7 linked regions of the Sus scrofa genome follow. The protein of the gene in region 1 interacts with the protein of each later gene in a pairwise test. Links are inferred from orthologs where the notes say so. Each region holds a gene or a part of one and is shown in the gene's direction. Other genes may lie near its edges. The genes, in order: EXOSC8, POLDIP3, TXNDC17, SLAIN1, DUSP23, OTUD4 and TFAP4.

Region 1 (3,447 bases):
GTATAATTTTACAATGGGTACTCCATATCTCGGGTTCTGCATCAAGGATTCAACCAACTGTGGATCATGTAGTACTGTAGTAGTATTTATTGAAAATATGCCTGTATAAGTGGACTGGTGCAGTTCTAATCCATGCTGTTTAAGGGTCAACTATAATTTTAAAAAGACTCAAGGAATACAATTTTGTAAACAAATGAGATATGTAGCAAGATAAAACCATACATAGAAAATGAAAAGGAGTTCCCATCGTGGTGCAGCGGAAACAAATCCAACTAGGAACCATGAGATTTTGGGTTCAATCCCTGGCCTCGCTCAGTGGGTTAAGGATCCGGCATTGCCATGAGCTGCGGTGTAGGTCGAAGACGCAGCTTGGATCTGGTGTTGCTGTGGTTGTGATGTAGGCCAGCGGCTACAGCTCCGATTGGATCCCTAGCCTGGTAACCTCCATAGGCTGTGGGTGCAGCCCTAAAGGACAAAAGACCAAAAAAAAAAAAAAAAAAAAAGTGCTTTTCATTTTGTTTAAATACTTATCTTTTCAGGTTCAATTGGTACTGCAGATGGTTCTTCTTTAGTGAAGCTGGGAAATACTACAGTAATTTGTGGAATTAAAGCAGTAAGTTTATTGTGTATATTACTATAAAGATTTGAGTTACCAAATTAGTTCATACACTTATTAGATTGTAATATACACCTATAGTTCTGGTGATGAGGTGATCAGATGTCAGTTTTTTAGTATTTGTTTTCATTTCGCAAGCTTAATGACTCAATTATAATTTATGAACATTTGCAAATGTGCTGAAATGAAATTTTTTAAAAACCCTCACCACTTTTAATTTTTTAAAAATTTGGTTGTAATTTGAGAAATTAAGAGGGATTTTGGGTGACATCTTTTTATGCAGGGATGGCATTTAATCTGTGCAAACATGTAGAAAATTGTTTAAAGGAAAAGCTTGAGGGAGTAATAGCCACCATTAACTGAGTACTTGCTATATCCTGGGCACCTTATATTAGGTGCTTTAAAAAATTAGCCAGTTTAAACCTCAGAATAATTATTTGAAATATTTCTCTCTTCATCTCCTATCTTACATGAGGTTCAAAAAACTTGTCTAGGAACATAAGGCTCATAAATTGAATTTAGACATAACTAACTCCAAAGTCTCTGCTTTTTTGACTATCCTGAACTTTGTAATTTGCTTAATCTAAGTTCAGGTTCTTTTTCAGTAAAGGTTGCAGTGATATGTAACAAGATTTGAGCACTTACTCTTTTTTAGGTTTTATGTCAGGGATTTAATATTATTTCATTTGACCCTTATTAACATCTTCTGAAAGTAGGCCCTATTAACTTCCCACTTTACCAATGAGGAAGTTGAATGGTAAGAGGTTAAATAACTTCCTCAAAGTCTCTGAGCTACAAAGTGTGATTCTGACATTTGCTTTTGATTCCTCCCATCAGTTTCTAAATCTGGCTGTGTCAGTATCCCTAGGTTTAAATTCAGTCCTGGCTGCTGAATAAGTGGAAGAGAGGGTGGAGCAGAAATCCAATTAACGAGCCCCAAGTAATTTTGATGAGTGGCACGACAGTCAGCTGTGCTCTACTGCCTTCTGGCCTTGCAGAACTTGTAAGGAGTGGTGCCAGTGGCCCTAGAGCCCTTGTCACGCCCTCCCGAGCACAGGAGATGCTCAGGATGTAGTTAACTAGCTAAGACGGAAGAGCCTTCCGTAACTGACTGCTGCCTTCTCAATTTTTTAGCAGCTTCTTTCATAGGAAACATTTGTTTACTTCTACAGGAATTTGGAGCGCCACCAACAGATGCTCCTGATAAAGGATATATTGGTGAGTTAAATGGTTTTGTAATTTTAATACAAATATTTTAACATAGTTAATACTGTTGTTATAGTTAAATCTTAGTAGGTGAATTGAAGAGTATTCATAAGCTTTAGACATTCCTGAAAAGTTTTTTGTATATGTTAGAAGATAGCATAATAGCAAGATAATTTTATAAGTATCTTTTTTTGATCAGTTTTTGTATAGATGTCATCAACCAAGAAAATAAAATCTTAGGCAAAGGCTATAATTACAAACTTTTGTTTCCATAAAGTTTTATTCATACCACCATGTGATTTTTTTTTTTTCTTGGACCATCTTTTCATTATGATGAGAACCAACATTTTAAAAATGCGTAACACTTGGTATGACTGGGGAGGGGGGCTATCTTCTGTTACACTTTGGGGCATTTTGAAAGACATATAAGAACTTTAGTGAAAGGCCTTTAGAAAAAGGCCCTAAATATACTTTTTTTGATATTGCTTGTGTGGAAAACAGTTGGAAAATACAAATTTTGTCTAAGCCCAGGATTCTTATTACAAAGATGAAAAGATATATGTGATGTTTTACAGTGCTTTCCATGGCTAGTTGCTTTTGCAGTGGATTGATAATACCTTTATCACTAAATCAGAGATGAAATCTGGTTCATAGCTGCAGTATTTTTTCAGTTCCTAATGTGGATCTATCACCTCTGTGTTCCTGGAGATTTCGGTCTGGCCCTCCGGGAGAAGAGGCCCAAGTGGCCAGCCAGTTCATTGCAGATGTCATTGAAAAGTAAGATCATCCTGATAAAATCTATCATTCATTTTAGAGCGTTGGAACTTTTATTTACCATGCTCTTTGTCTTTAAATCAAGTTCACAGATAATTCAGAAAGAGGACTTATGCATTTCTCCAGGAAAGGTAAGAGGAATAAAGAGGCTATGACCTTTTATTAATTCTGGTGGGTTTTGTGGGAAAAATTAAAAAAAAAAACCCAAAAAACAGTAGCCTTAAATACTGATGTCTTTACTAGATTCCATTCTAGATGGAATTCACTAAAAAAAGGTAAAAAAATTAAACAACCAATTTTGATGACTTCAGTACCTGGCTAGGATATGCCTCTTAGGCTGATGTAATCTCCCCTTTTACAGAAATAAGTCATTTTAAAATTTCTTCTAGCAGATTATTACTGTCTGATCAGCTAACATGTGTTTGAGGTGAATCCACAGTATAAATTCCAAAAGTCTGTTTGGAGACTTTGAACTAAGTTGACTAGTACCTAGAGGCTTTTCCTATTTGATTATACTGATGTATTAAGCATTAAGATCTAAAAGTTTCATATATTGAGGTTTCTATGGTAAAGTACATTTTAAATTTTCAGAAGTAATTCCTTCATCATTGTAGTTCCCTTGAGTGAAATGGAGATGTTCACCTGTCAGCTTTTGGTAGTAAAAAGTCAGCTTTTATCCAACCTGTACAGTTTTTTTTTAAACTTTAAAGTTTTAAGTTTTTTGAGTCTTGAAGGTTATCTTATCTAATGAAGGTGTGGTTTGTAAGTAAAAACAAATGAATGTTATACCAATCAGAAGACTTTAATTTCCATTTTGTGTAAACTCTGTTTTAGCTAGCTTGGGTTCTATA
Region 2 (4,432 bases), on another chromosome or scaffold:
GGGGCCCTGCCTTCCTGGCGTATTGGCAGCGTTGGGAGGACCAGAGGGCTGTCCCGCCCCAGTCCCCGCCTTCACGTGGCTGGATATGTTGTCCAGACAACCAAACACACCCCACAAAGCTCCGAAATGCCCCTGGCAAAGGGCCGCCCCACTGACAATCAGAGAATTAAATGATAGCAGCTAACCACCCTACGATTGCAGTAGTTTAAGAAAAAATTTTAACTGACTTCTCTATACTTCATTTATTTCGTGTGAAGGCGTGATAGGCCTTAACTTCTGCAGCGCCCTGGTCCCTCCTGGTTCCTCCCGCCAGGCACTGGGTCTTGGCCTCTGCACCTCTAGGAGGGAGCACTCAAGGGTCCTACTTTACTGCTGAGACAAGGAGGACCAGCCCGCGCCCGGTCACGGCTGCGCAGGGGGACCTGGATTCCCCTCCTCAGGCGGGGGCCCAATCCCAGACCCTCCGCCCTTACCAGCTCATTTCTCCACGGCCTTTCTGATGCCAGATTTTTCATCATGGTGGGATAGTCTGTCAAGAGCACGTTGGACTTAGTAAATAACAGCAGTAGTAACTCACTGGGCACGAAGTCCATGCTTGGCACCGTTCTAAAGGGGTTGCACGTATTTTTTTATTGACTCCACAAAGACATACTGAACACCTACCTCATGCCGGGGTCAGAAGTGGAGGCTGCGATTGCATCAAGGAAAAGGCAATTCCACGTGGCGAGCACCTCATTTAATCCTCGCAACCGCCTGTTACTTGCCCGACTTTCCAGATCAGGAAAAACGAGGCACAGAAAGGTGACGCGATTTGCTTCTGAAGACCGCAGAGCCTAAAAGTGTCTACAGTTTCCGCCCTACTTGCCATTTTTTTTTTTCAACCCCAACAAAGCAAAAAACGAATCAGTTCCGAGTTCAGGAAATCTAATAACACACAACTACTTAATCCTCCATGTTCGTCAAAGTTGGTCTGCTTTTCAAGTGTAAAGGGGGACGGGCAGATCGCAACTCCCAGGCATCCCGCAAAGTAGGCGGGTCACCTTAGGGGCGACCTTTACCCGCTCAAAAATTCGTCTCACATTAGCAGTGAGGACTCGGGCGTCACCCCGAATCGTTATTTTCCTTACTCATAAGTTTAAGGCATAAAAATGTAAACGTCCATACTTCCTAGGTAAGGAATCCCATTCTCATTAGCCATACGGTGAATATAAAAGTTGACCGTTAAACCGAGAACTTCATCCCGCTGACGTTTGTCTTACTCATTTAGTTTTTCATATCTCCTTGTATTTTATTTGGTCCTCGGAGAGGGTAGGAAACGACAGGGATACGACCCCCCGTATGCAAATCAGAAGCTGGCCTCGCAAAGGCTCACGGGGAGAGGCCCGCCTCTTCCGGCCCCTGCTCGGCCTAATCTGTCGCGAGAGTTCGTCAGCCGAACGCCGGAAGCCGCTAGTTGCTCCACAGCGGCCGAAGGGGCGGGCTCGGGGGCCGAGGGACCCTGAGGTGCTCGCGGCCTGCTCGGCGGTGCAAGATGGCGGACATCTCCCTGGACGAGCTCATCCGGAAGCGCGGGGCTGCTGCGAAGGGGCGGTGAGTAGCCTTTTCTCCTTTCGGGTTTCAGGGCCTGAGTCCTCGCGGGGTTCGCGCTGAAGAGGGAGCGGCCCGGGCGCGACGCGGAGGGCCGTCTGCGCCCGCCCCCTGCCGCAGCCCCGCTCCTCATTGGCCGCGCCGCCGCCGCCGCCGCCGCGGGCCCGGCCGCCAGGCCGCCCACTGGCTGGAGGTGCCGTCGCTCCCGCGGGCCAAGGGAGGCCGGAGGGGCCGCAGCCGCCGAGGGGCCGCGCTGCGGGGCTGGTGGGAGCGGCGCGGGGGGCGGAGGGACGGGCCGTCCCCCGCGGCCCGGGATTCCCGGGGTCGCCCCGGCGCAGCCCCTCCTCTGAGGAGACCGGCGCTGCTCCGCGATCCCAGCGCGGCCTTGAAGTTAGGACGACCGAAGTTTGGCGGGGCAGTGGCTTGCTCGGGCTCTGCCGGTCTCTACTGCCGAAGCCGAGCCCCAGCCCCAGAGCTGGTCCAGGTTTCCAAGTCCTGCGCCGGCTTCGCGTCTGTTTACACCGCCCCCCCCCTCCCGGGAGCGGTATTTCCGAGTCTGAGCGCTCTCGGGCCCACACGGTCTCATTAGCTCCTCTGGCCGTCCTGTCGGCCAGCCTTTCGTGCTTTCCCCGTTCTGCAGACAGGGCGCTGGAGGCTGGGAGAGGTGGAGTGACTGCCCCGAAGTCCCGGAGGGCTGAGACCGGGACTGAAGGCGCGTTCTGAGCTGGCCGAGGTGGCCTCAGGCTTGGGCAGAAAATCAAGGGAGATGGGGCTGGAGGGTAGCTGTTTGCTGATGGTGCTCAGAAAAGGCGGTTCTGTATCTGGGTGGCGAGCCCCGGAGACGACGTGCAGCTCTGAGACCGCCCTCCTCTAGACCCTCGAGTACGGTTCGTCGTTTCCAGCCTGTAAGAACTCCAGTTCACCCGTATGGAAAAGTGGGAGCTTTGGCCCAGAGTTTTCCAGCACACGGAAAATTAGCTCGGATGTCCTTGTAAACGGCCAGGCTGTTCCATACTGTTTTCTCAGACAGTCATTCACTCAGTAGATGTTTATGAAAAGTGCCTGTGACCAGAAAATAGAGTCTCTGCCTTACTATCCCCCGACCCTCAACACATACATCCATCCACTACGTTTGCCCCCCAGCCCCACACAGTTCACCAGCCAGCATTTCATCTGGCTTCTGGTTCATAATAGGCACACAGCATTAATTTCCTCTCCCATTATCGGTGAGTAGTTCTTCCCTAGGTCTGCCAAGAACTGGTGTGGACTTGGGGCTGGTCCTCTGGCCATTTCCAGACCCATCCAGGTTTCACAGGTTTGCTGGACAGATGCTGAAGGAGCCAGCTTCAGGACAGGTGCTTCCTGCAGTCACTGCAGGCGGTCTGTACTTTGGTGTCGATGCGTGCAGAGTCTGTGTTGGCCGTAGGGTAGGAATGCAGGAAAGGGAAGACAAATGGATGCATGGGAAGAGCGAAGAGCGGGGAGTGTGCAGCCAGACAGACCTGGTCTCATGGTAGGCCCTGCTGTTGGGTTCCATGCTTCCCCGGTCAGATGACTTCTGAGCTGGTCGATCTCCTCATTTGCAATAATGGTTGCTGGTAGGTGCTTGAGAAGATTGCATATGAGAATGTAGGAATGTATATTTAAAAGTTTGTACCAGGTTGTAAGTGTTCAGCAGATGACCTTTCTTTAAAGAAGCCCAAATCCCTCCTCCCAGGGGACATAACAGGTAAGCATTGGGGTCCTCGAGTCAGACTGCCAACTTTCAATCCCTGCTTCTCCCATTTTTCATATGATCTTACAGAAGTTGCTTAACCATTCCATGGCCTCTCTTTCTTTTATCTATAAAACATGGACTTTTGCTTCATTAAGTGTTTTCAGGACTAAGTGAAGTAATGTATCTAAAGTACTTTAAAAAATAAAGTACTTTAAAAAGCGTCTGATGGATACTAAGTGCTCAAGAGATGTTCGCCACCGTCGTCATCATTATTGAAGGTTTTTAAGTAAAGAAGTAACACGCAATCTCTTGAGTGTGAAAATATTGCTTTGCTAGCACATGAAGACTGGATTGGGGAAGTGTAGGCAAAGAGACTAGTGTAGAAGAAATTGGACTGCCTCCTGTGTTTGGGTTAAACCTGCTGGAGACTCCATTTTTATTTTACTTGCACAGCCAACAAAACTAGATTGGGGCGGGAGGGTTCCCTGTCAAGGACTGTGAAAGATCTGAACAAATATCAGTGAACAAGTGTCCTTTCCTACAGTATAAAATGCTATTCTACATGCTTCCTAGAAGAAATCGCCTTACTGGAAACTTTGGTTTAAAGTTGCATAGGTGTCCCAGGGAGAACTTTGTGCTTCATAATTTTAGGAAGAACCTGTGAGCATCTCAGAAAACTTCTTTTCTCTTCTTAGTGCAAATAGCAAAAGACTGAGCCGAAGGGAGTGTAAATACCCTCTTCCCACTGGTGGCGGAATGTGCTTGTTCTTCAGAGCAGCCATTCTGTTTTGTGTTCATCCCACTGTGTAAGTCAGGAAAGGTGTCTTTATTGTCCTTATTGCCTGGCCCCCGGTTAGTCATCAAAAGGTTGATGGTTAATATGAAATGGGGGGGCAATTTTTGCGGTACTTCAGCCAGGCCATGATGAGGTGCTGTCCTTTCCCACATACAGCACATTTCTAGTGGCTTTAGCTCTTTAAGACCCATAGATGACTCCCCAGGACAGCACTGGGCACCAGCAGCAGTGTGGGCCTGCCTCTCTTGTTGACTTCTTCCTTTAGTCAGGGCACCCCCTCTTTGGTTTGCTGAGTTTAACCTTCAGAGGACAGCTGTCTGTCCACTGTCTCC
Region 3 (4,547 bases), on another chromosome or scaffold:
ACCGCTTGTCTCCTCCACCATAGGGCTGGGGCACCCACAGAGATAGTTTCCTCCGGTGCAGCCCTGAGGACCCCCATGGCCTCGGGCACCGCGGCAGCCTGCACCCTTCTCCATAAGCCTGGGGTATCCCCGCAGACTGCCTCCTGTGCCAGAGCCCCAGGCACCTGCACTGACTGCTCTCTCCCCCACAGACCCAGAGCGCCCCCATAGCCTAGCTCTCCTTCCACAGACCTGGGTACCTCCACAGCCTTGGGCCACCCCATGGCCCCAGGCACTCCCACAGTCAGTCCTTTTCCCCGAGAGCCTGGGGCAACCCCATAGTCTATCCCTTCTTTGGCCCCAGGTACCCCCACAGCTTGTCCCCTCCCTGGCAGGTTTGGGGCAATCCCAGAACTGGCCTCCATAGCGCCAGGCAAAGCCACAGAGGGTATCCTCACAGGCTGGCCCTGCCCACACACGACTGCAGCCCTCTCACAGCCTGCCCCCAGGCCCAGAGCTATAGCTATTCCTGAGTCCCCGGGGGCTGCCCTACCCTGCCCTTTCACCCAGGGTCCTGTGAGACCACCACGGCTGGTTTCCACCCAGGAAGCCCGGCCAGGAATCCCCCTTTCAAGCAACCCCTCTCCTGCAGGCACAGGATGGAGTTCGACTCTGCTTCCTTCCCCACATCCCGAAGCTGCCCTCATGGCCTGCACCTTCAACCATAGCTCCAGAATGCTCTCGTGCCCCATAGATCCCGGGCGACCTTTTCTCTCACAGCCCCGAGGGCTCCTATAAACCGACTCTTCCTCCTCCCCACTGCCAGTCACCCACACAGAGCCGACAGGCCCCACCACCTGGGGTATCCCTACAGCCCCGTTCACCCATACAGTCCCAGGGTCCCTTGCAGCCTCCATAGAGCCTGCAGTGCCAGGTGTCCCCGCAACCTCGTTCGCCCCGGCGGCCTGGGCTGTCCCCGCTGCTTGTCTTCTCCCCCACTGTCCCCGGCAGTCCTGCAGCCTTTCTGCACTCACACAGCGCGTTTGCCGCACGGAGGACCTCGCCCAGCGCTTCGCTCCACGGCCTCCAGTGGTCCTTGAACCCCATCTCTTCCCCCACGGCCTCCGGACTCCACGCCCAGACCTGCTGGGCCCCACGCAGCGGCCCGGCGTTTCTGCGGCTGGCTCGCCCCCGCGCAGCCCCCGCAGGGCCCCCTGGCCAGCCATCCCGCTCATAGCTCCAGGACGACTCACGCCTTCCCAAGGCAGCTCTGGGGCACTTCCTGTCTTGGCACCAGCTCCCAAGGCGGCTCCCCACACGCACTCACACTCAGCTCTAACCCTCGCAGCCTTCCTCCCTCACAGCCCCCTGCCCCCGCCCTGTCCCGGACGCCCGACTAAAGCCTCAGTAGAAGAAACGAAAATTAGAGCCGACGAGCGGCAGGATCTGCCCCGGGCCCAGGTCTCCTCTTCCCTACGTCTCTGACTCCTAACGCAGCTTCCCAGAATCCCCCCAGCTCTGGCCCGAGCCCACCTGGCCTGGGGCTCGGCGCGGCTACCGGGAAGCGGGCAGGGGGGGCCGCTATTAGGCCTAGCTTCCGGCCGCTCGCCCAGTCGCCATGGCAACAGGCGCAGGGTGGCTTGGGAGCCGTTAAGGCTCCGGAGCCACCTAAGGGTCCAGGGGCAGCGCGGCGGCAGGTTTTGCAGCCACCGCACATGGGGCTAGGGCCGGGACTGGGACCATACTGGGGCAGAATCCGGGGGCTGTGGGCGCAGCCAGCACGGAAAGACCTGAGACGTGAGAGCAGAAAGATGGTGACGAGTTAGGGCCATCGGAGGCACCCGTAGCACCTCAGAGCCTGGCTGGCTCCCTCAAGTCCCCGCCCACCCGGAAACAGCTTCGCTCCGCCCCGCAGGGGATCGGTCCCAGCTGCGGCGTGCGGCCCAAGACACCTCCCGCGGTCCCAGGCCCGCTTTCCCGATGGCCCGCTACGAGGAGGTGAGCGTGTCCGGCTACGAAGAGTTCATACAGGCTGTGAAGCAGCACAATGGCAAGACCATTTTCGCCTACTTTTCCGGTTCTAAGGACGCCGAAGGGAAAAGCTGGTGCCCCGACTGCGTGCAGGGTGAGGCCGGGATTCGGGTCTCCTGCCTAGAGGACCTGGCAGGAAAGCTGAGGCTGTGGCCATTGAGCAGGGTGGAGAAGCGGAGGGAGTCTTGCTCCCGAGTCCCGCAGAGCGATCTGAGCTGTCTTTTGTCTTTTCCAACCCTGTACCCGACTCTCCTATTAAGTCCTTTCCCACCCCGCCAAGAGTGCTCTTCTACCATTCCACTCAGGTAATCTTAGAATCTAGTCCTTTGGAACTTTTAACTTCCTTGATTAGTGTCTTACAGGAGACACGAGGTGGTTTCTTTTGGATGTCAACAAATATGTCTTTCGTTTTTCTGGGCTCCGTGGTGTGGGGACAAATCAGGACTTAAGAGTTGGTCCTTGCTCTTTTAAAGTGGCTCTCAAATCAGAAAACAGCACCTGACTTCTGTTAACCTCCTCAGTTAACTGCAGGTTAAAGTCTGAGTACTTACCAAGCCTGAGGGGAGAGGCGAGAGGGGCACTGTTTATCAGTGCTGATTGTACTGTTGGTGTGTAATTATTTTAATTTTTACCAACTTTTTTTTTTCTTTTAAAGCTGAACCAGTTGTACGAGAGGGGCTGAAGCATACTGTTGAAGGATGTGTGTTCATCTACTGCCAAGTAGGAGAAAGACTTTAGTAAGTGGCCACATGTACTCTATTTCCCAGACCTAGGTAGGAACGGCTTTGGGACTCAGACTCTGAGTTCTAAGGTATAGTCGGATAAGTCAAGCAATCAGAATATATAAAATACAAATTAAAAATCTGAGTGATCATCCAGTTGTATTAGGTAGGGGTAATTCAATGAATTTGCCGTGATGTTCCTTTGGAACTTAATTGTCTTTACATTTATATTTTAGTATATACTCACGTGAAAACTTTGCACAGGGGAGTAAATCATAGAGTCAAGGTCTTTAAAATGTTCACAACAAAAACAATGATTACTAGAAGACTAAATGTAAGAATACATCAAATATTTAGCAGACTGTAAGAAACCAAGTAAATTTTTCATGATCACTTTTCTTTTTTTGAAATAGTTGGAAAGATCCAAATAATGACTTCAGGAAAAAGTTGAAATTAACCGCAGTGCCTACACTACTTAAATATGGAACAGTGAGTATCTTTCTTTAACTGTGCTGGGGATACAATTCACCCTATCAACTCTTTTAACTTGTTCTGGATTCAAATTTGAAAAGACCTTGACATTTCATCCCAAATATCATATTGCTCTTTAGCATGGATTCATAGCACAAAAGCTGTCTATCCCTATGGCCAGTCCCAATAAATTATTAATAATGCAAATATTAGCTCTTTCAGTGCTTTCTTAAAAGCCATTCTTTTTTGTTTGTTTGGCTGGGGTTTTGTTTTTGTTTTTGCATTTTAGTGCTGCACCTGTGGCATATGGGAAGCTCCCAGGCTGGGGATCGAAACGGAGCTACAGCTGCCAGCCACAGCCATGCCAGATCCAAGTCACATTGGATTTCTACACCACAGCTCACAGCAATGCCAGATCCTTAACCAACTGAATGAGGCCAGGGATCGAACCTACATCCTCATGGATCCTAGTCAGGTTTGTTAACCGCTGAGCCACGAAGGGAACTCCCAAGCCATTCTTATTTTTAAATTCGGTAGGCACTGCTGAACAAAGTTGGTTAACATATAATCCCTTAAAAGAGTGCCATCAATGTTGCTTTCTCTTTAATCCATAATTCTTGATGAAAGGGCACCTCTAGTTAAGTCATGACCCTGGAATTCTGAATTGAAGAATTAAGGGAAAGGGGGGACACTGGGCTTGCTGTCTCCTGTTTTAGTCCAGGGAGCCAAGAATTTTAATGATTTACCTTAAAGCAAATACCTTAACTATTTCATAAAATGTGTTACAACTAGTTGATAATTTCTGTTCCAAGATCTGTGTCATTCAAGGCAGAACTCATTCCCCTCCTAATAACATTTTTGTAGTGATGGGTTAAAATAAGACTGTTCTTCTTTTACAGCCTCAAAAACTGGTAGAATCTGAGTGTCTTCAGACCAACCTCGTGGAGATGTTGTTCTCTGAAGAGTAAGATTTGATGATGGCAATTGTGTCTTGATTTCCTGATTTGCTCTAGTATAAAAGAAACTGCACACTTGCTTTGAATTCATGTTAGCAATAAATAAATGATGATTAAAAGAAAAACTGTGTATGTCTAAATAATAGAGAGTACAATTAAAATGCTCATGAACCCTTAGTCTGCTTTAATATATGGATATGTTTGAACTAAGGATAAACTAAGTCTTCAGGAGTAGCAGTAGTAGCCCAAAGGGGAGGATATTATTGGAGATGGGCAGAAATATCTAAAAGCCGCTGATAGTGAAGAAGATAGTTTCCAGACTTCTAAAGAAGTTAGGATCTTTTACTTTAAATTCCATGAACTTACAAAAGAACTGTTATCCTAAAAC
Region 4 (3,491 bases), about 37 Mb from region 1:
GTCAGCAGTGAATCAGAGCTGCAGCTGGGGCCTACAAGAGGGCAACACCAGATCTGAGCTGCATCTGAGACCTAGGCAGCAACGGATCTTTATCCCACTGGGCGAGGCCAGGGATTAAACCTGCGTCCTCAGGAGAAAACATCTTTACCCCACTGAGCCACAACAGGAACTCCTGAAATACAGTGTTTTAATTGGTATAAAACCTGTGGTTGTTAACTTAGTAAAATTCTTTTCTCTTATAGATAAGCTCCGAAGAAGTATGCCTAATCTAGCCCGGATGCCAAGTACCACTGCCGTTAGTAGCAACGTTAGTTCCCCAGTTACCGTGCGAAATAGTCAGAGTTTTGACTCCAGCTTGCATGGAGCTGCAAATGGAATTTCAAGAATACAGTCTTGTAGTAAGTATGACAACTTTTCACTCTTTTGTAATTTTTAATCAGCTATAACACCATTAGAAAAATACCTTACTTTTTCATTTCTCTTAAGAACATAAAAGGAAACTTTTTCTTTTTGACTTTTTTGTATTTCATTATTATAATTGAGTAGTATTTCAAGAGTGCCTATGTCACTGTGAGTAAATTATCTGTAATCCTTTATATCCAGAGACAGCAGAAGCACCAAATGGTGATTGATTGATTCGTCCACTCATCATACAGAAATATTTTCTTTGCAGATCTGCCTCGTTCTAGCTGTTTACTTGATATTTTTACTCTGAAGAAAGTACACTTACTCTGTCTAGCTGTCACTTTGGCCTTGTTTGCCATCAGTCCATAGCCTTTCCCCACAAATGAAGTTATATTTTTGTGTGTCTAAATTAGGACTTAACTACTTCATTTTGACCCTCAGTCTGTCATTCATTCTCCATCTGTTCTACGCAGTAACGAGCAGCTCAGTGAGTTCAGTCTATGTGCATTTTCACTTCTGTGGGGCAAAATTCCCATCTTCCTGCTCATATTGTCAATATGGGTAGTTGGGCTTAAGTCTGAGCCTGACCCCCTGGGAGGCAGAGTCAAGGTCACAGTCCCAGTATTGACACACCTGAACCCGAGAGGCCTGAATGTGTTCAGAGGGTGCTGGCCAAGGGCCAGCAACCTTAAATCTGCACCCAGAGTGAGTGGTTTGTAGCCCTATTCACTTACAACTTATTTTTTGAGCACTTTCAGGTTTACAGAAAAACTGAGTGGGAAGCATATCATTCCCATATAGCCCCCACATTCCCCCTTCCTCTCCTTCCATTGCCCCCATTTTAAACAGCTTACACTAGTGTGGTACGTTTGTTGCAACTGATGAGCCAATATGTTGAAACAGTCATGGCTAGAAAGGATCCTAGAGATGACATAGCAACCAGCACAAGTTCACTGTGTCCCCCAAACTTTTTTTTTTTTGCTTTTTAGGGTTGCACCTGCACCATATGGAAGTTCCCAGACTAGGGGTCAAATCAGAGCAGCAGCTGCCAGCCTACACCACAGCCACAGCAACTCGGGTTCTGAGCTACGTCTGCGACCTACACCACAGCTCATGGCACCACCAGATCCTTAACCCCCCGAGCAAGGCCATCCTCATGGATACTAGTTGGGTTTGTTTCCGGTGAGCCACGACCTCCCTGTGCCCCAAACTTGATAGGTTTCAGAGCCAACTCTTCCATGGACCTCATTTTTCATTGAATGTTTGGGTACTATACTCATACATCAGCATTCCTACATGTAGATGTCACTTAATACATACTTGAGCAAAACTAATTTAAGGAAACATTTTCAAGAGATATTAAGTAAAACCACAGACGTTTTGTCTTTCTCCCCACTTCTTTTTATAGAAGAGATACCTAGTGTATATTTTATGCATAAGTTCAAAACCAGTTAAACTATTTGAGAAAATAGGGTCCGGTCTGTTTCTGTTTCATTTGAACCACAGCTGTACTTGGCAGCAAAGGCTAGAGTGATCAGTAAGCAAACAGCAGCATTGTATGTACAAGTTTTTGTTAAATTTGTGATTCAGATTTTTTCCTCTGGAGAAGAGCATTATAAACATTAAAACAAACAAACCAGTTCATTATTTTCCAGTGTGAAATAGCGCTCAGTGTTGGGCCAGCATATTGATGAACTTTTTAAGGGCTCTTCCCCAGAGAGCTCCCTTCATTTCACAGGTTCTGCTGCTGTTTTCAAGAGAATAATAGCAGCACTTGTGGAGAGTCACTAAGCGCCAGGGGCCGCTACAAGGCGTTCTGTGGATTGACTCATTTAGTCTTCCCACCAACCCTTCGAGATAAGTGAATGTCATGGTGAAAATACTCTAAGAACTATTCTGTTATAAGCTTTTTGTACCTACTGAAGCCACCTCTGTCTTCCTTTCTGTAATTATTGCCATGACGTTGTCCCCTTATTTTCATGAAACATCCCCAGTGCACCCATCGAGAAATCCCAGTGTCTCCCAAGCGAGCAAGAAGGAAATCCTGGGAGAACTCAGAGATGACCGCGTTTGTCAAAGGCAAGGAAGTCGTGGTTCCCGCTGGCTTCTGAACATAGTCAGGCACTCAGATATGTTGCTGACATAGTAGACTCTTGTCAAGAAGTAGAATTTTCCAAAACAAGATGCAGTCTGGAGCCCGTATTGCATTTGTCTTTACACACACAGTGTATACACACAGTATATACTTATGCACACGCATAACCCTTGCAGACAGGTAGTCTCAGCTTTTTTGAACGTAGCCCAGTGTAGGTAGTGTAGACATTTTCTCTCATGTGCATGTTCTTTCCTCTCCCAGTTCCGTCACCAGGACAGCTTCAGCACAGAATCCACAGTGTGGGGCATTTCCCAGTGTCTGTCCGACAGCCTCTTAAAGCCACAGCCTATGTGAGTCCAACTGTGCAAGGCAGCAGTAGCCTGCCTTTGTCCAACGGCCTCCAGCTCTACTCTCCCACGGGGATTCCCACCCCCAGCAAAGCCGCAGCTTCTGGCATAATGGGCCGCAGCGCACTCCCAAGACCCTCTCTGGCAATAAATGGGAGTAACCTGCCTCGGAGCAAAATTGCACAACCCGTCAGAAGGTGAGAACCCGTGTCCTTTTCCGTACCCTCACCTGCAGTGTGCGATTAGAATAGAAACCGCTCTGGGAACCACCTCACCTTCTTCTCTGTCCCAGACCAGCCCCAGCTGTCTGTCCCGCCTCTGGCACACTGGGGGGTGGTGGGGAGGGGCTGTCCCTGTGGGGTCCGCCCCTGTCTGATCCCACCTCCCCTTGCTCCTGCAGCACTCCACTCTTTGCTTTTGCTTTAACTTCCCAGCTAGCCCCACCCGCATGGCCCACTGTCCCTCCTTCAGATCTTTGCTCAGGTGGTGCCTCCTTCCAGGATTGCAGCTCCTGCAAATTCAAATTCCTCCCTGTCCCCTTCCCCATCTGTTACCCACAGCCTTTATCACCACCTACTTAACGACTTTGGGCTGACTTCCCAGTAGCACGGAAGCTGCAGGAAGCGGGGTAGTTGCTTCTGGGA
Region 5 (4,196 bases), on another chromosome or scaffold:
TCACCGGGAAGCTCTGTCTCCTCCAGAAACATCTTCCCTCTGAGGATGGGCTGTGAGCTGGGTTTCAAGGAGGCCGGCAAAGGGCATAGAGTGGGTGGGGAGAGATGTGGAGGTTTTTCTCTGACAGTGGAGGGAGCCAAGAAAGGAGAGCCAGGCAAAGGAACTGAGAAAGGGTCACCCTGAAAGGAGCAAGGGCTGGGGTCTTGTCTCCAGGGGCCATGCAACCAGAAACCCCCGAGTGAGGGATTAAGAGAAGTTGCAGGGGGTTGGGGGTACAACTGGAGGCTGAAAGGCACAGTAGGAAGAGGGGAAAGGAATAACTTGGGATAGGCGAGAAAGAGTCACAGGGAGTTGTGTAGGAAATGGGAGTGCAGACAGGAAGGACTTAATCAGGGCTGTGATTGTCAGGAAGGGGAGGAAAGGGTTGATTTGACAGCTCCTGGAACGTGGGGAGAGTAGGTGCGGTAAAGCTTCAGAGTCGTCTGGGTAAAGGGTAAGTGCATTTTCCACAGGGTCAGAGCAGGCTTCAACCTTTGGGGGAAGAAAAATTCCTTTTCATTTTGCTGGAACCAAATGTGTGTCTCAGGGGGAGGTGGGGACAGAGGGAGGGAAGTCCATCTTCATGGCTAAGGAGCCGGGGCTTCGAATGACAGAGACCGTGGCTCAACCAGTCCAGCGGCTCACTAGCTATGTGTGCTTGGCCAAGGTAACCAACTTCTCTGAGCCTTAGATGACTCATGTGCAAAAGGGATACAAAAATACCTTCCCCTCTGAGGGTCTTCCAGAAAGTACCTGGCATAGGGCCTGGTACATAAGCAAATAAATTCACAAAAGTTAACTATTTTCATAATTATAATTAGTCTGCATCACTAGGAGCACATTGTTCAAATGAGGATATGAACCAGTCGGATCACAGCTAAGACATTGTGTTCACATCTAGTTCTCCACCTTTTATGAATGACAGATAAACTCAAGCTTCCCCAAGGAAGAGTGATTCAGAGCACCTGGAAATCAGGAGCTGTGAAGAGAAACTAAGAAATCCTGAAACCCGGCTAAGGGGTTTGAAGAGGGTTATGTAAAGAGGCAGTAATCTTCCATTTAACTTTAGAATACAATACCATTTTGATTCTGGAGCCAGGCTGCTCGGTTTCAAATCCGCCACTAGTCATCTCCTGGTCAAGTTCCTGGACTTCTCCAGAGCTTCAGTTTTCTCATCTGTAAGAGAGTTAATTTGCTTACCTACCTCAAAAGATTATTGACTAAATGAATAAGTTAATATATGTTAATTAAATAAGTCGTAATATATGTCAAATTAAATATGTAATTAAATAATATGTAAAGTACTTAGAATAATACCTGGCACACGGTAAATGCTCAGTTTATTGGTTCTCATGTTGTTATTATTATTTTAAATAATTACTATCCCGGGTAAGACTTCAGAGTACCAGATGGCTGCAACTCTCATTTTTAAAAACCAATTCCAGCAATGGAAAATGAGAACAGTTCCCTGTACAGATTCCCGCTTACTAGACGAGTTCATAAAATCACCAATAACGACTTGTCAGAGTCACTGAAGAGGAGGTTCCTCCCCCCAAAGCGGATGTAGATTTGCCATCTCATAAACCCTTGGGCATCCAATCTTGAAGACAGTAAGACAAGGACAGGCCCTTGGGCAGCAGGGAAGCTGGTCAGTGATGCAATAACGCCCTTCCACCGCCAGGGAGCAGCAGAGCCTGACCCCGGGCTCCTTACTCCACAGCAAACAATTCTGAATTCTCTCTAGGTTTTCCTGCTTGGCTGTTTGCATGGTCCACCAATCTCCAAGCGCACCGCAGCAGTAATCCCGCCCATTATTGATCATCCAGCCAATCAACTGGTGTCCTGCTTGGGGCCAGACCGGATCGCTCCTCTCAGTCTTCCGAGCTCAGCGTTCAGCGCCCTAGCCCCGCCCCTCAAGTGGCTCCACCAATCCCCCGCGGCGGAGCAGGGCGCACCCTAGGTCGAGTCCTGGAGACCACGTGGTCCCAGGAGGCGCCAGTGTTTGGTAGGCGGAGAGTTACCAGGCCCACGGACCGGAAGGGGGGGAGGGCGGAGCGGGACCGGCCGGCCTCGCCCCCTATGATCAGCTGTCTTGTGCCCTCTCCTAGCCATGGTCGTGCAGCCCCCCAACTTCTCGTGGGTGCTCCCCGGCCGGCTGGCGGGGCTGGCGCTGCCCCGGCTCCCCGCGCACTACCAGTTCCTGCTGGACCAGGGTGTACGGCACTTGGTGTCACTGACGGAACGCGGGCCTCCGCACCACGACAGCTGCCCCGGCCTCACCCTGCACCGACTGCGCATTCCAGACTTCTGCCCGCCAGGCCCAGAGCAGATTGACCGCTTCGTGCAGATCGTGGACGAGGCCAATGCCCGGGGAGAGGTCAGTGGGCGGGGTCAGCGCAGGGAGGGAGGGGCCTGGGAGGGGTCAGCGAGGACACGGGCAAAGCAGGGGAGGTCGCGGAAAGAGACTGGAGGAAGACCGGCTGACGGGGACAGAAAACAGGTGCAACCTAGACAAACGCGGAGGAGGGAGGGGTAAATGGAGAAAAGGAGATGAGTATAGAAAACGAAGAACCCCATAACGTGAGTTGACAGGCTTGGAAGAGACGGGGGTTGAAGTCAGGAGCTGGGTGAGCAGTCTCCAGAGTAAGGTTCTGCCCACATATAGTGGAGCTGCATTTTTTAAAAAGTTAAACAAGAAGCAGAAGAAATTCATTTTGATCATATAATTTAACCCAGTTAAGTCCGAAATATTATCATTTCAACGTGTAATCAATATAAAATAAATTCTTAACCAGATTTTTCATTCTTTGCTATCCCACATCTTTAAAACCTGGCTGTATTTTACAAGTGAGGGGCAGGAAAGTGGTGGGAGGACATCGGCCTCCACTTCCTCCAGCTCCCCCTTCACAGGCGGTGGGAGTGCACTGTGCCCTGGGCTTTGGCCGCACTGGCACCATGCTGGCCTGTTACCTGGTCAAGGAGCGGCGCCTGGCTGCAGGAGACGCCATCGCTGAGATCCGGCGCCTCCGACCCGGCTCCATCGAGACCTACGAGCAGGAGAAGGCAGTCTTCCAGTTCTACCAGCGAACTAAATAAGGGACCTCAGCTCCATTCTGCGGGGCCCCCATGGCCCTGACCTGTGCGTTAGATGGGGCCAGAGACATTCACGTGGACTAAAAGTGCTAATCCCTCCAGTGTCCAGCTGGGTCAAGAGACTAAAGTTGTTCTTCCTTCCCGGCAGGCAGGTCCTGGTAGGAGGGATGGCTGGAGCTGCATGGATGTTGGGGATTCCTCTGCTGCTGCCTTGAATAAATAAAGAACCAGCTCACATGGCATAGCACTTTACAAAGTGCTTCCACACAGCAACTTTTTTGAGCCTCACAATAGCCCTGTGGGACAGGAAAGGCAGAAGGGCCATCCCTGTTCTTTGGATGAGGTGACAAAGGCTCAGAATGGCCGACGGTCACACTTCTGGAAAGTGGGCCAGCACAAGAAGACACATTTTCAGTCTCTTAAGATGCTGAAACTCTTGTGCATCTGCTCTTTGATGATATTTGATGTTTCTTGGTTGGGAGGTAGGCAAATGCTGGTCAATGAAAAGGAAACAGATCTTGGCACTCTGGTCTCTGATGCTTGCAGGCCAGAAGGACCGCTCTGGACCCAGCCCCTCAGTCCAGGCCCACATACCCCACATGCACCATCCCTTTCACCCTCTAAGAGAAGGCCAGGAGGATGCATTGCTCACAGATAATCCCTATCTTCATCTTCCAGGGGCTGGGCGCCTCTCCCCAGCCGTGGGCTTCCAGGCTCACCTATGACCTCCAGCACAGTGTGCTGCCCCACAGCCACAAGCCACAGGCTGAGCGGTGCCAGGACCCAGCCTCTCTGGGAAGATACACAGGGGATAGTTGATGATTAAATGAAGACGTTCAGGGCTACGAATCTTGGCCATGTTTCTCAGATGTTAGCTTTGCCTCCCCATCTGATGCCATTCCACCATCACCATGACCACATCACACACACACATCTATCTCTCGGGGCTCTGAGAGACAAGACGAATGGGATAGACTAGCCAAATGGACTCTCTTTGCTATAACTGCTACCTGAATTCCTGTCCGTTTTTTTACGATGCAGGCCAGGCTGGATAAGGTCGGAAT
Region 6 (3,814 bases), on another chromosome or scaffold:
CCCGTCTGCTTACACTACTGAGTAGCCATATGGTTTGCTGTTTCATCATCTTTAATTTTTTATTCAGGAAGACAGCAAGTCCTTACCTTATGTCACTTTTATTATTTGAGTCTAGGTCTCAACACTCATTTTTTTACTATCCTTTTTCTCCCCAAAGGACTTATCAGCATTTAACATATTACTTACTTAGTTTGTATCTACTCTCAGTGGAATATATCATGTTGGAGTGGAATAATTTATTTAATGGAGGCTTGTCTGTATTTTGAAATGAAATTTTTAAATTAAACGTTACTCTACCAACCCAAATTTCAGTTTATTTCCTTTGTGTCTTGATTGAGTCAGTAAGAATTACTGATAAAGATCTTTCACATATGTGTACATCAACACATGCATACATGTACATATATATGCACACAACTAAAATTTGAGCTCATTGGAATATAGGTTTGGCTTTTTGGAATATAACTGAGATTTAAATGAGGTTAGAATAAGTTAAGTTAATTACATGCAAACATTTTTGTACTCCTCATGATGGCTCTGTTTCTTTCTTCGTAGGAGTAAAACCACCGCTGTTAATGATGTGTATGGATTTAAAGCTTTGTCAAGTGATCAGGTATTTTTTTTTTTTTTTTAATGGTTTTAAACTAATTCTCCCATACCAGAAAGCATCTGAATTTATAGTCTTATTTTTTTTTCCCTTTTCTGGTACATTTTCAATAGAGTCAGGATCATCTATTAGTAAGACATTTTTGGTGACTTCCTAATTTTTAAAGTTTTCTTCTTTTAATTTTACTCTTATGCATATCTCAAACATGTTTTAAAAGCGTTTCTGTGTTGATTGGACTTCCTGACTTTGTTTATTTAGCACCCGAAAAGCAATGGGAACTCTCCCAGCCTTCCTTTGTCTAGAAAGGTTCTTAAGTCACTCAATCCAGCAGTCTATAGAAATGTGGAATATGAAATATGGCTGAAGTCTAAACAAGGTGAGTTTCAAAATCTGTGCATTTTCTGTAAATTTGTTTTGTGGCGTTTGAAAGTGAGTTAACTTGATATTTTATTGATACCGTTTACAGCTCAACAAAAACATGATTATTCCATTGCTGCTGGCTTACAGTATGAAGTTGGAGATAAATGCCAGGTAAGTGATTATCTAGAGGAAGAAAAGATTGTACTTGAAATGTATTTATTCTAATAGGAACCAAGAAAACAGCTGAAGTTTGGATATATTAATTTAGGATTTCAGAATATCTTTTATTGGATGTACTTTTTAAGAGTTACAGCAGCTATGTAGCTTTTCAGTACATGACCAAAATCATGTATCTAAATCATGGCATCCTATCACATGATCTTTAACTTAATTCAGCCTTTGATATTACTTGCTTCAAAGAAGTAACAGTAACATCTTAGATTTTCACATATTTTCATTACAGTTGACAAATTTACTGAAATTGATTCAAGCTTGACATTATAGGTCAGTTTGGTTTATGAAAGTCATCTGTAAGATTTTGATAGATCACATAATTTTGTGGTTGTTGGAATGAGAGAGGAAAATGACAATAAGTTTTGCCACTTACTTTGAGTAAGCTACATCTCTGGGCTTAAACGGGTGGGTTTAGATCAGTGTTCTTATTTGGAGTGATTTTGCACCCCTAACTCCCATGTAGCAGTGTCTGCAGACATGTTAGAGCTGTGAAGGTACTACTGGTATCTGGAAGGTAGAGCCCAGGCACAGTGCCAGACATCCTAGAACACACAGCACAGCTCTCCCTTCCAGCCAAAGTGTTAAAATGATAAGACTAGAGAAACTTTTATGAAAAAATTACTCTTTCTAAAACAAAAACAGCCCACACACTATAAAATAGTTGTATTTGGAAGATAAATTTCATCAAAAGTGATCTCCATCAAAAAGTGTTTCCTTTTAAAAACTAAAATAGCCATTGACAAATATTTCTTCTCGACTCATGGAAGAGACCCCATTTCCTTTGTGAAAAAGTGGTTTGTGAAAAGTATCTGGGGAATGGGATTGTATTTGGCTGTCAGTGACAGACTTGACCTTAGGAACTTAGCATAGTGTTCTGATTTAGGGTATTTGAAAGGAGCGAAGGAAGACGGTATGATTCATTTAGTTTTCCTTATAGGATTGTCAGAAATGTGTGCTAATTACAGAACAGAATTGGAGAATCTTTTACTGCAGTGATTGGGAAAACTTGGAAGAGACTAAAAGAGTAAATCCAGGTGCTCCCTCCCTCCTCGCCCCCACTTAGTGGAGGAGAGGAGATTGTTTATTTATTGCTACATCACTAAAATTGTGTTGTTAGTTTAAGTCAAGCATATTTCCTTTGAGGTTTCAGTTGCTTTTGTAAAGTCAATGGCTGTTGATAAGGTCAGTGGTAAAGCAGATACTTGTTTTAATGTTTTTCTTTTTAAGAGTATTCCGTTGCTGTTTATACCACTTGGCTATTTCACTTGGCTAAAATGTAATTGAAATTTTATTATGGAAAGTGCTATGACCCAAAGATGACTTTTATTTACTCAGATCAGCATAGTGTAAACATAGTTTAAACTTTTACTAAAAACTAACTTCAGAAAAATTCTTTTTTATTGTACACACTTGAAGAAAGGACAGCAGTGTTCTGCTGTGATTGAAGAATGAAGCCTCAGCTTGAGGACTTTGACTTGCTGTCAGGCCGTCCCTCTGCTCTGTGGCCATGGACTGTGCCCTCTGCACCGTGCCATTTTACGTAAGGGACTTGAGCATCTGAGGGAGATACTGGAACCAGTGCCGAGGGACACCTTTGCTGATAGGAGGAGGAGGTTGCTTGAAGCAGGGTGTGTACCTCCGGCTCCCGGGGCAGTGCCGGGCAGTGCCCTGTGCAGTGTGTACCGCTTGGCTGCAGGAGGGAGCCTAAAGGCTTACTCTTCTGTCACAATTTGCTCTTGTGTAATAACCACTAGTATATTAGAGAAGACATGATGGATCTATTTTCAGGGAGAAAAAAGGTCACATTTACATATTTTAATATTTTAAATATTGCAAGAGTGAGGAGATAATAGTAATTCTAATAATAGTTGCTCTTCTTTGTTGAGTGGTTGCTGTGTGCAAGCTGGTGCCTTTATATATATATCATAGGTGCCTTATTCCATCTCCGTGGGTCCTGTGATGGAGGTCCTGTAATTAGCCCCGTTGTGCATACAGGACACTGAAGCAAGAGATAAGTCACTTGCCCAGGGTCCTATTGCTGTTGAGTAGAAAAGCCGGACCTGGAATCCCACCCAGTGTGTGGTGCCATAGCCCTGTCTTCAGAACCAGGACAATTGAAAAACTTTGAGGACAAAGAAGAGTGTTTTATCTTGGATAGAGCAGTACAGAGGTCTTGGGCGGTCAGAGACAATACTGTGCACTCTTTTGAACTCATAGCATATGTTCATTTTCTCTTCACTCAGAAATGAAATAACGGTTTAAAAACTGATAATTAATGTGGGAGATTCAGGTGACTGATTTTTCTTTGTGGACTGTTTAACAGGTTAGGCTGGAGCACAACGGAAGATTTTCTAATGCCGACTTTCAAGGGGTTCACTCTCAGAACGGGCCGGTTTTGGTCGAGGAACTTGGAAAGAAGTATGTATTGCTCTTCCACTGGGGCATTCACTGTCTGTTCCATTCAGCCGAGTATAAACACCGAGCATTTCTGAATGGACCTGTGCATTTGCAAATTCAGTTAAATGCATTAATATCTTGGTTTAGATCTTTCAAAGAATAGTTTGAGTCCAAATTTAGTGTTTAATACTTATTTTGTTGCTTACTGTTTAAAAT
Region 7 (3,814 bases), on another chromosome or scaffold:
TCTTCTTCTTCTTTTTTTTTTTGGCCTTTTTGGCTGTGCCCCATGGCATGAGGAAGTTCCTGGGCCAGGGATCAAACCTGCACCACAGCAGCAACTGGCATGGCTGCAGCGACAATGCTGGATCCTTAACGCGCTGTGCCACAAGAGAACTCCTTCTCTCTGTCTCTTCTTTTTTAAAAAATTTTATGGCTGCTTCCATGGCATGTGGAAATTCCCCAGCCAGGGGTTGAATCCAATCTAGGTCCCAGTTGTGGCAACATCGGATCCTTTAACCCACTGGATCAAACCTGAGCCTCATACTGACCCAAGCTGCTGCAGTCACATTCTTAACCCACTGTGCCATAGCAGGAGCTCCCTCTGCTTCTTCTTCTTCTTCTTTTTTTTTTTTTTTTTGCATTTTAGGGCCGCACGCAAGGTGTATGGAGGTTCCCAGACTAGGGGTCAAATTGGAGCTAGAGTTGCCAGCCTACCCCAGAGTCATGGCAACGCAGGATCCGAGCCGTGTCTGCGACCTACACCACAGCTCACAGCAACGCTGGATCCTCAACCCACTGAGCGAGGCCAGGGATCGAACCCGCAACCTCATGGTTCCTATTCGGATTTGTTTCCGCTGCGCCATGATGGGAACTCCTCTCTTCTCTTCTTTAATCCACCGACTGCCAGGCCTGGGAGCCTGGGCTCAGTTCTGATGCTCATTCCTTCCCTGCAGAAGGCAGGCAAGACGCTGGATGTCAGGTGCCTGACCTCTGTCCCCCTCTCCTCCATCTGCCATCCTGTCACACACCCTGCCCCCCATAGGGGCAGGGAAACTGGGAGAAGTGACGTACCCCTGGCCCAGAAGAAGGGGAGCCAGATGCCCAGCTGTCTGACCTGAAAACTATGTCCCTCTTGCCCTGAGCTCTAAGTCCCATTTATAAAGGGGGGTCATGGGCCCCCTTTCCGATGCTGAGAGGGAGCTGTGTCTCGGGGGGCGGTCTCAGGGAAAGTCTGGAGGTGCTGTGGAGGAGTGGGCTTGCTCTGGACCCCCAGTGGTGGCCGATGTCCCCAGTCTGCTGCCAGCCCATCCCCAGCTGACCACCCTCTCTGAGACCCAGGAAGAGGCCAGGACCAGTCCGGGATCCCTCAGGGAGCTTAGGTAGGACAGACGGGGTGGGCCAGGGGGCCAGGAAAGTTCTCTGGCTGTTGCAGATGTGCGCCCCTCCTACGTTTCCCAGCGAGCTCCTTTTCCCCTGGAGTTGGGCCTCTTTGAGCCCAGGCTCCTCCATCAATGGAACAAGGCTGCCCAGGATCCTCTCGCTGGTCCCCCAGACCCAGGGGTGTGAGCCATGCTGGCTCAGGCCTGGTCCAGGTCACCCCAGGAGGGCCCCTCAGGAAGAAGCCAGGGTTGTGGCTTTGGGTGGGGCCGGTGGCCTCTTCTGGGAGCCCAGCATCTGGAAGCCATCAGGCCGGGGCGGGGGAGTTACAGGAGAGGGCCTGGAAGGGGGGGCCTGCCTCCTCCGGGCCACACACAGGCCCACCCCTGGGGAGCAGTGGCGTTGGGCCCGTCTCTGCCTCCCGCCAGCGCCCCTCGGGCCGGCAGCCTCGCCGCCTTCTGCTGGCTGCCTTCTCTCTCACCCCACTGGCCACTGCTCCGGCAAGATGCGGCCGCATCATATGCAAAATGTTGCCTTCTGCGTGCTGGGAGCCTCGCTTCTCGGGCACAGGGTGGGCCTGCATCTTGGGGTGGGTGGGCTTGGGGGAGAACTATCTGGGGCCGGGCTGGGGGCTTCTGGGAATTTGTGGCTGTGAGGCTGAGAGGGGAAGGACAGCTGCCTCAGTCCTCAAGCCTGCGACCCTGAAGGAGGGGTCCAGGTGTAGAGCAAGGAGTTTGGGGGTGGCCCAGGAGCAGGTGTCTCTGATTATGGTCGGGCCACCTGCATCGGAATCACAGGGATTCTTAGCCACGCAGGTTTCTGGGCTCCACACACACCTGCTGGCCAGGGGGTTACCGTGGTGGCTCAGTGGAAACGAATCTGACTGGCAACCGTGAGGATGCAGGTTCGATCCCTGGCCTCACTCAGAGGGTTAAGAATTCGGCGTTGCTGTGAGCTGTGGTGTAGGTTACAGTTGCGGCTTGGATCTGGCGTGGCTGTGGCCGTGGCGTAGGCCAGTGACTACAACTCTGATTTGACCCCTAGCCTGGGAACTTCCATATGCCTTGGGTGTAGCCCTAAAAAGCCAAAATAAATAAATAAATAAATAAATAAATAAATAAATAAATAAATAAATAAATAAATCCTTGCTGTCCAGACCCCAGGGTCTGGCATCCAGGCATCCATTTTTCACACCCAGGCATCCCAGAGCACACACTTCATCACCCCTGGATCTGCTGCGGGTGTAGGCATCAGACAGCTGATATCTTGCAGCGGGAGGGTTGCAGGTTATACTTGGGGCGCACTGGAGCCAGGGCACGGGGTGGTTGGGCACCGAGCCTGAGTCTGTCTCTGTTCCTGCAGCCTTGCCAACATTCCATTGACCCCTGAGACTCAGCGGGACCAGGAGCGGCGGATTCGGCGGGAGATCGCCAACAGCAACGAGCGGAGGCGCATGCAGAGCATCAACGCGGGCTTCCAGTCCCTCAAGACCCTCATCCCCCACACAGATGGAGAGAAGCTCAGCAAGGTGGGCGAGGCCCAGAAGGACTTCCTGGAGGAGGTGGGGGGCTGGAGCAGGGAGATTCAGGAGACCCTGTCCGCCGGGGTTCCTGATTTGTCCCTCTTGCCCTCAGGCAGCTATTCTCCAGCAGACTGCGGAATACATCTTCTCCCTGGAGCAGGAGAAGACCCGGCTCCTGCAGCAGAACACACAGCTCAAGCGCTTTATCCAGGTAGGGCCCTGCCCTGCTCCCGGCGCCCTTCGCCTGGCATGTGTGTGTCTGGGCCCAACCCCTGGCTTGGGACGGGGATGTGGCTACAGGGCCCTTCTTTCTGCTGACCTGCCTGCTTCCAGCCCTTGCCTCGGCCTGGGCCCTAGTTTAGCCATCATCCGGTGCAGCAGAGTAGACTCTGGACGGAACCCCTGACTTCTAGGAAGCAAGTCCATTCTGCCTCCTTTTCTGGCCTTTGTCTGTTGGATTTGCAAAAAGGGGCTCTCTAGCTGGGTGTGACAGATTTGGGGGGCTGCCGTGGAGCTCCTGTCCCATCCTGGTGGTGGTGGTGGTGGTGGTGGTGGATGTGCTGCCACGGCACACTCACCCACCCCCTTGGGGTCCCCAGGAGCTGAGCGGCTCGTCCCCCAAGCGGCGGCGGGCAGAGGACAAGGATGAGGGCATTGGCTCCCCGGACATCTGGGAGGACGAGAAGGCGGAGGATCTGCGGCGGGAGATGATCGAGCTGCGGCAGCAGCTGGACAAGGAGCGCTCGGTGCGCATGATGCTGGAGGAGCAGGTGAGGTGGGCGGGCCTCCTGGGGGTGCTGGCTGGCTCTGGCCTGCCCTCCCTTTGAGCAGTTATTTCCAGGAGCGCCTGCTTTGTGCCACGCCTCGGAGCGGGGTGTCCGGTGGGGAGCAGAGCCGACAGGCCTGTCTGCTTTGGGGGAGATTAGGCAGAGGATGCCCCTGCAGCTGTGATCAAGGCCACACCGGATTGGTGGGCATCCGGGCTGCTTCGAGAGGGGCTGCCCCACAGCGTCTCCGGAAGTGACCTGAGCTGAGAGTGGGAGGGGGAGTCTCAAAGCTGCCCAAGCAGAGGGAACAGCCTGGGCAAAGGCCTGGGGCTGGAGGGGACAGAGAGGGCGCATGGCATGGGGCGGGCCTGGCGGGACTTTGGAGGACTTTG

What was found.
Region 2: the proteins of EXOSC8 (region 1) and POLDIP3 interact in a two-hybrid assay, tested with the Homo sapiens proteins (2 studies listed by BioGRID). The link is inferred for Sus scrofa from reciprocal best matches to the Homo sapiens genes EXOSC8 and POLDIP3.
Region 3: the proteins of EXOSC8 (region 1) and TXNDC17 interact in binary tests that used the Homo sapiens proteins (3 or more experiments, as listed by UniProt). The two-hybrid records come from large-scale screens. The link is inferred for Sus scrofa from reciprocal best matches to the Homo sapiens genes EXOSC8 and TXNDC17.
Region 4: the proteins of EXOSC8 (region 1) and SLAIN1 interact in binary tests that used the Homo sapiens proteins (3 or more experiments, as listed by UniProt). The link is inferred for Sus scrofa from reciprocal best matches to the Homo sapiens genes EXOSC8 and SLAIN1.
Region 5: the proteins of EXOSC8 (region 1) and DUSP23 interact in binary tests that used the Homo sapiens proteins (3 or more experiments, as listed by UniProt). The two-hybrid records come from large-scale screens. The link is inferred for Sus scrofa from reciprocal best matches to the Homo sapiens genes EXOSC8 and DUSP23.
Region 6: the proteins of EXOSC8 (region 1) and OTUD4 interact in binary tests that used the Homo sapiens proteins (3 or more experiments, as listed by UniProt). The two-hybrid records come from large-scale screens. The link is inferred for Sus scrofa from reciprocal best matches to the Homo sapiens genes EXOSC8 and OTUD4.
Region 7: the proteins of EXOSC8 (region 1) and TFAP4 interact in binary tests that used the Homo sapiens proteins (3 or more experiments, as listed by UniProt). The two-hybrid records come from large-scale screens. The link is inferred for Sus scrofa from reciprocal best matches to the Homo sapiens genes EXOSC8 and TFAP4.

The regions. Positions count from the first base shown.
Region 1 is NC_010453.5:12,819,927-12,823,373, forward strand, and holds part of EXOSC8 (exosome complex component RRP43), read left to right. Parts: intron 1-539; coding exon 540-613; intron 614-1,788; coding exon 1,789-1,834; intron 1,835-2,493; coding exon 2,494-2,599; intron 2,600-2,681; coding exon 2,682-2,727; intron 2,728-3,430; coding exon 3,431-3,447. UniProt on the Homo sapiens protein: Non-catalytic component of the RNA exosome complex which has 3'->5' exoribonuclease activity and participates in a multitude of cellular RNA processing and degradation events.
Region 2 is NC_010447.5:6,173,028-6,177,459, forward strand, and holds the start of POLDIP3 (polymerase delta-interacting protein 3), read left to right. Parts: upstream 1-1,415; 5' UTR 1,416-1,531; coding exon 1,532-1,590; intron 1,591-4,432. UniProt on the Homo sapiens protein: Is involved in regulation of translation. Is preferentially associated with CBC-bound spliced mRNA-protein complexes during the pioneer round of mRNA translation. Contributes to enhanced translational efficiency of spliced over nonspliced mRNAs.
Region 3 is NC_010454.4:50,734,406-50,738,952, reverse strand, and holds TXNDC17 (thioredoxin domain-containing protein 17), read left to right. Parts: upstream 1-1,643; 5' UTR 1,644-1,959; coding exon 1,960-2,104; intron 2,105-2,665; coding exon 2,666-2,747; intron 2,748-3,145; coding exon 3,146-3,221; intron 3,222-4,102; coding exon 4,103-4,171; 3' UTR 4,172-4,284; downstream 4,285-4,547. UniProt on the Homo sapiens protein: Disulfide reductase. May participate in various redox reactions through the reversible oxidation of its active center dithiol to a disulfide and catalyze dithiol-disulfide exchange reactions. Modulates TNF-alpha signaling and NF-kappa-B activation.
Region 4 is NC_010453.5:49,880,745-49,884,235, forward strand, and holds part of SLAIN1 (SLAIN motif-containing protein 1), read left to right. Parts: intron 1-242; coding exon 243-398; intron 399-2,761; coding exon 2,762-3,044; intron 3,045-3,491. UniProt on the Homo sapiens protein: Microtubule plus-end tracking protein that might be involved in the regulation of cytoplasmic microtubule dynamics, microtubule organization and microtubule elongation.
Region 5 is NC_010446.5:90,719,847-90,724,042, reverse strand, and holds DUSP23 (dual specificity protein phosphatase 23), read left to right. Parts: upstream 1-1,367; 5' UTR 1,368-2,149; coding exon 2,150-2,416; intron 2,417-2,949; coding exon 2,950-3,135; 3' UTR 3,136-3,388; downstream 3,389-4,196. UniProt on the Homo sapiens protein: Protein phosphatase that mediates dephosphorylation of proteins phosphorylated on Tyr and Ser/Thr residues. In vitro, it can dephosphorylate p44-ERK1 (MAPK3) but not p54 SAPK-beta (MAPK10) in vitro. Able to enhance activation of JNK and p38 (MAPK14).
Region 6 is NC_010450.4:83,261,102-83,264,915, forward strand, and holds part of OTUD4 (OTU domain-containing protein 4), read left to right. Parts: intron 1-555; coding exon 556-613; intron 614-865; coding exon 866-983; intron 984-1,073; coding exon 1,074-1,138; intron 1,139-3,524; coding exon 3,525-3,619; intron 3,620-3,814.
Region 7 is NC_010445.4:38,053,907-38,057,720, forward strand, and holds part of TFAP4 (transcription factor AP-4), read left to right. Parts: intron 1-2,495; coding exon 2,496-2,661; intron 2,662-2,767; coding exon 2,768-2,866; intron 2,867-3,254; coding exon 3,255-3,425; intron 3,426-3,814.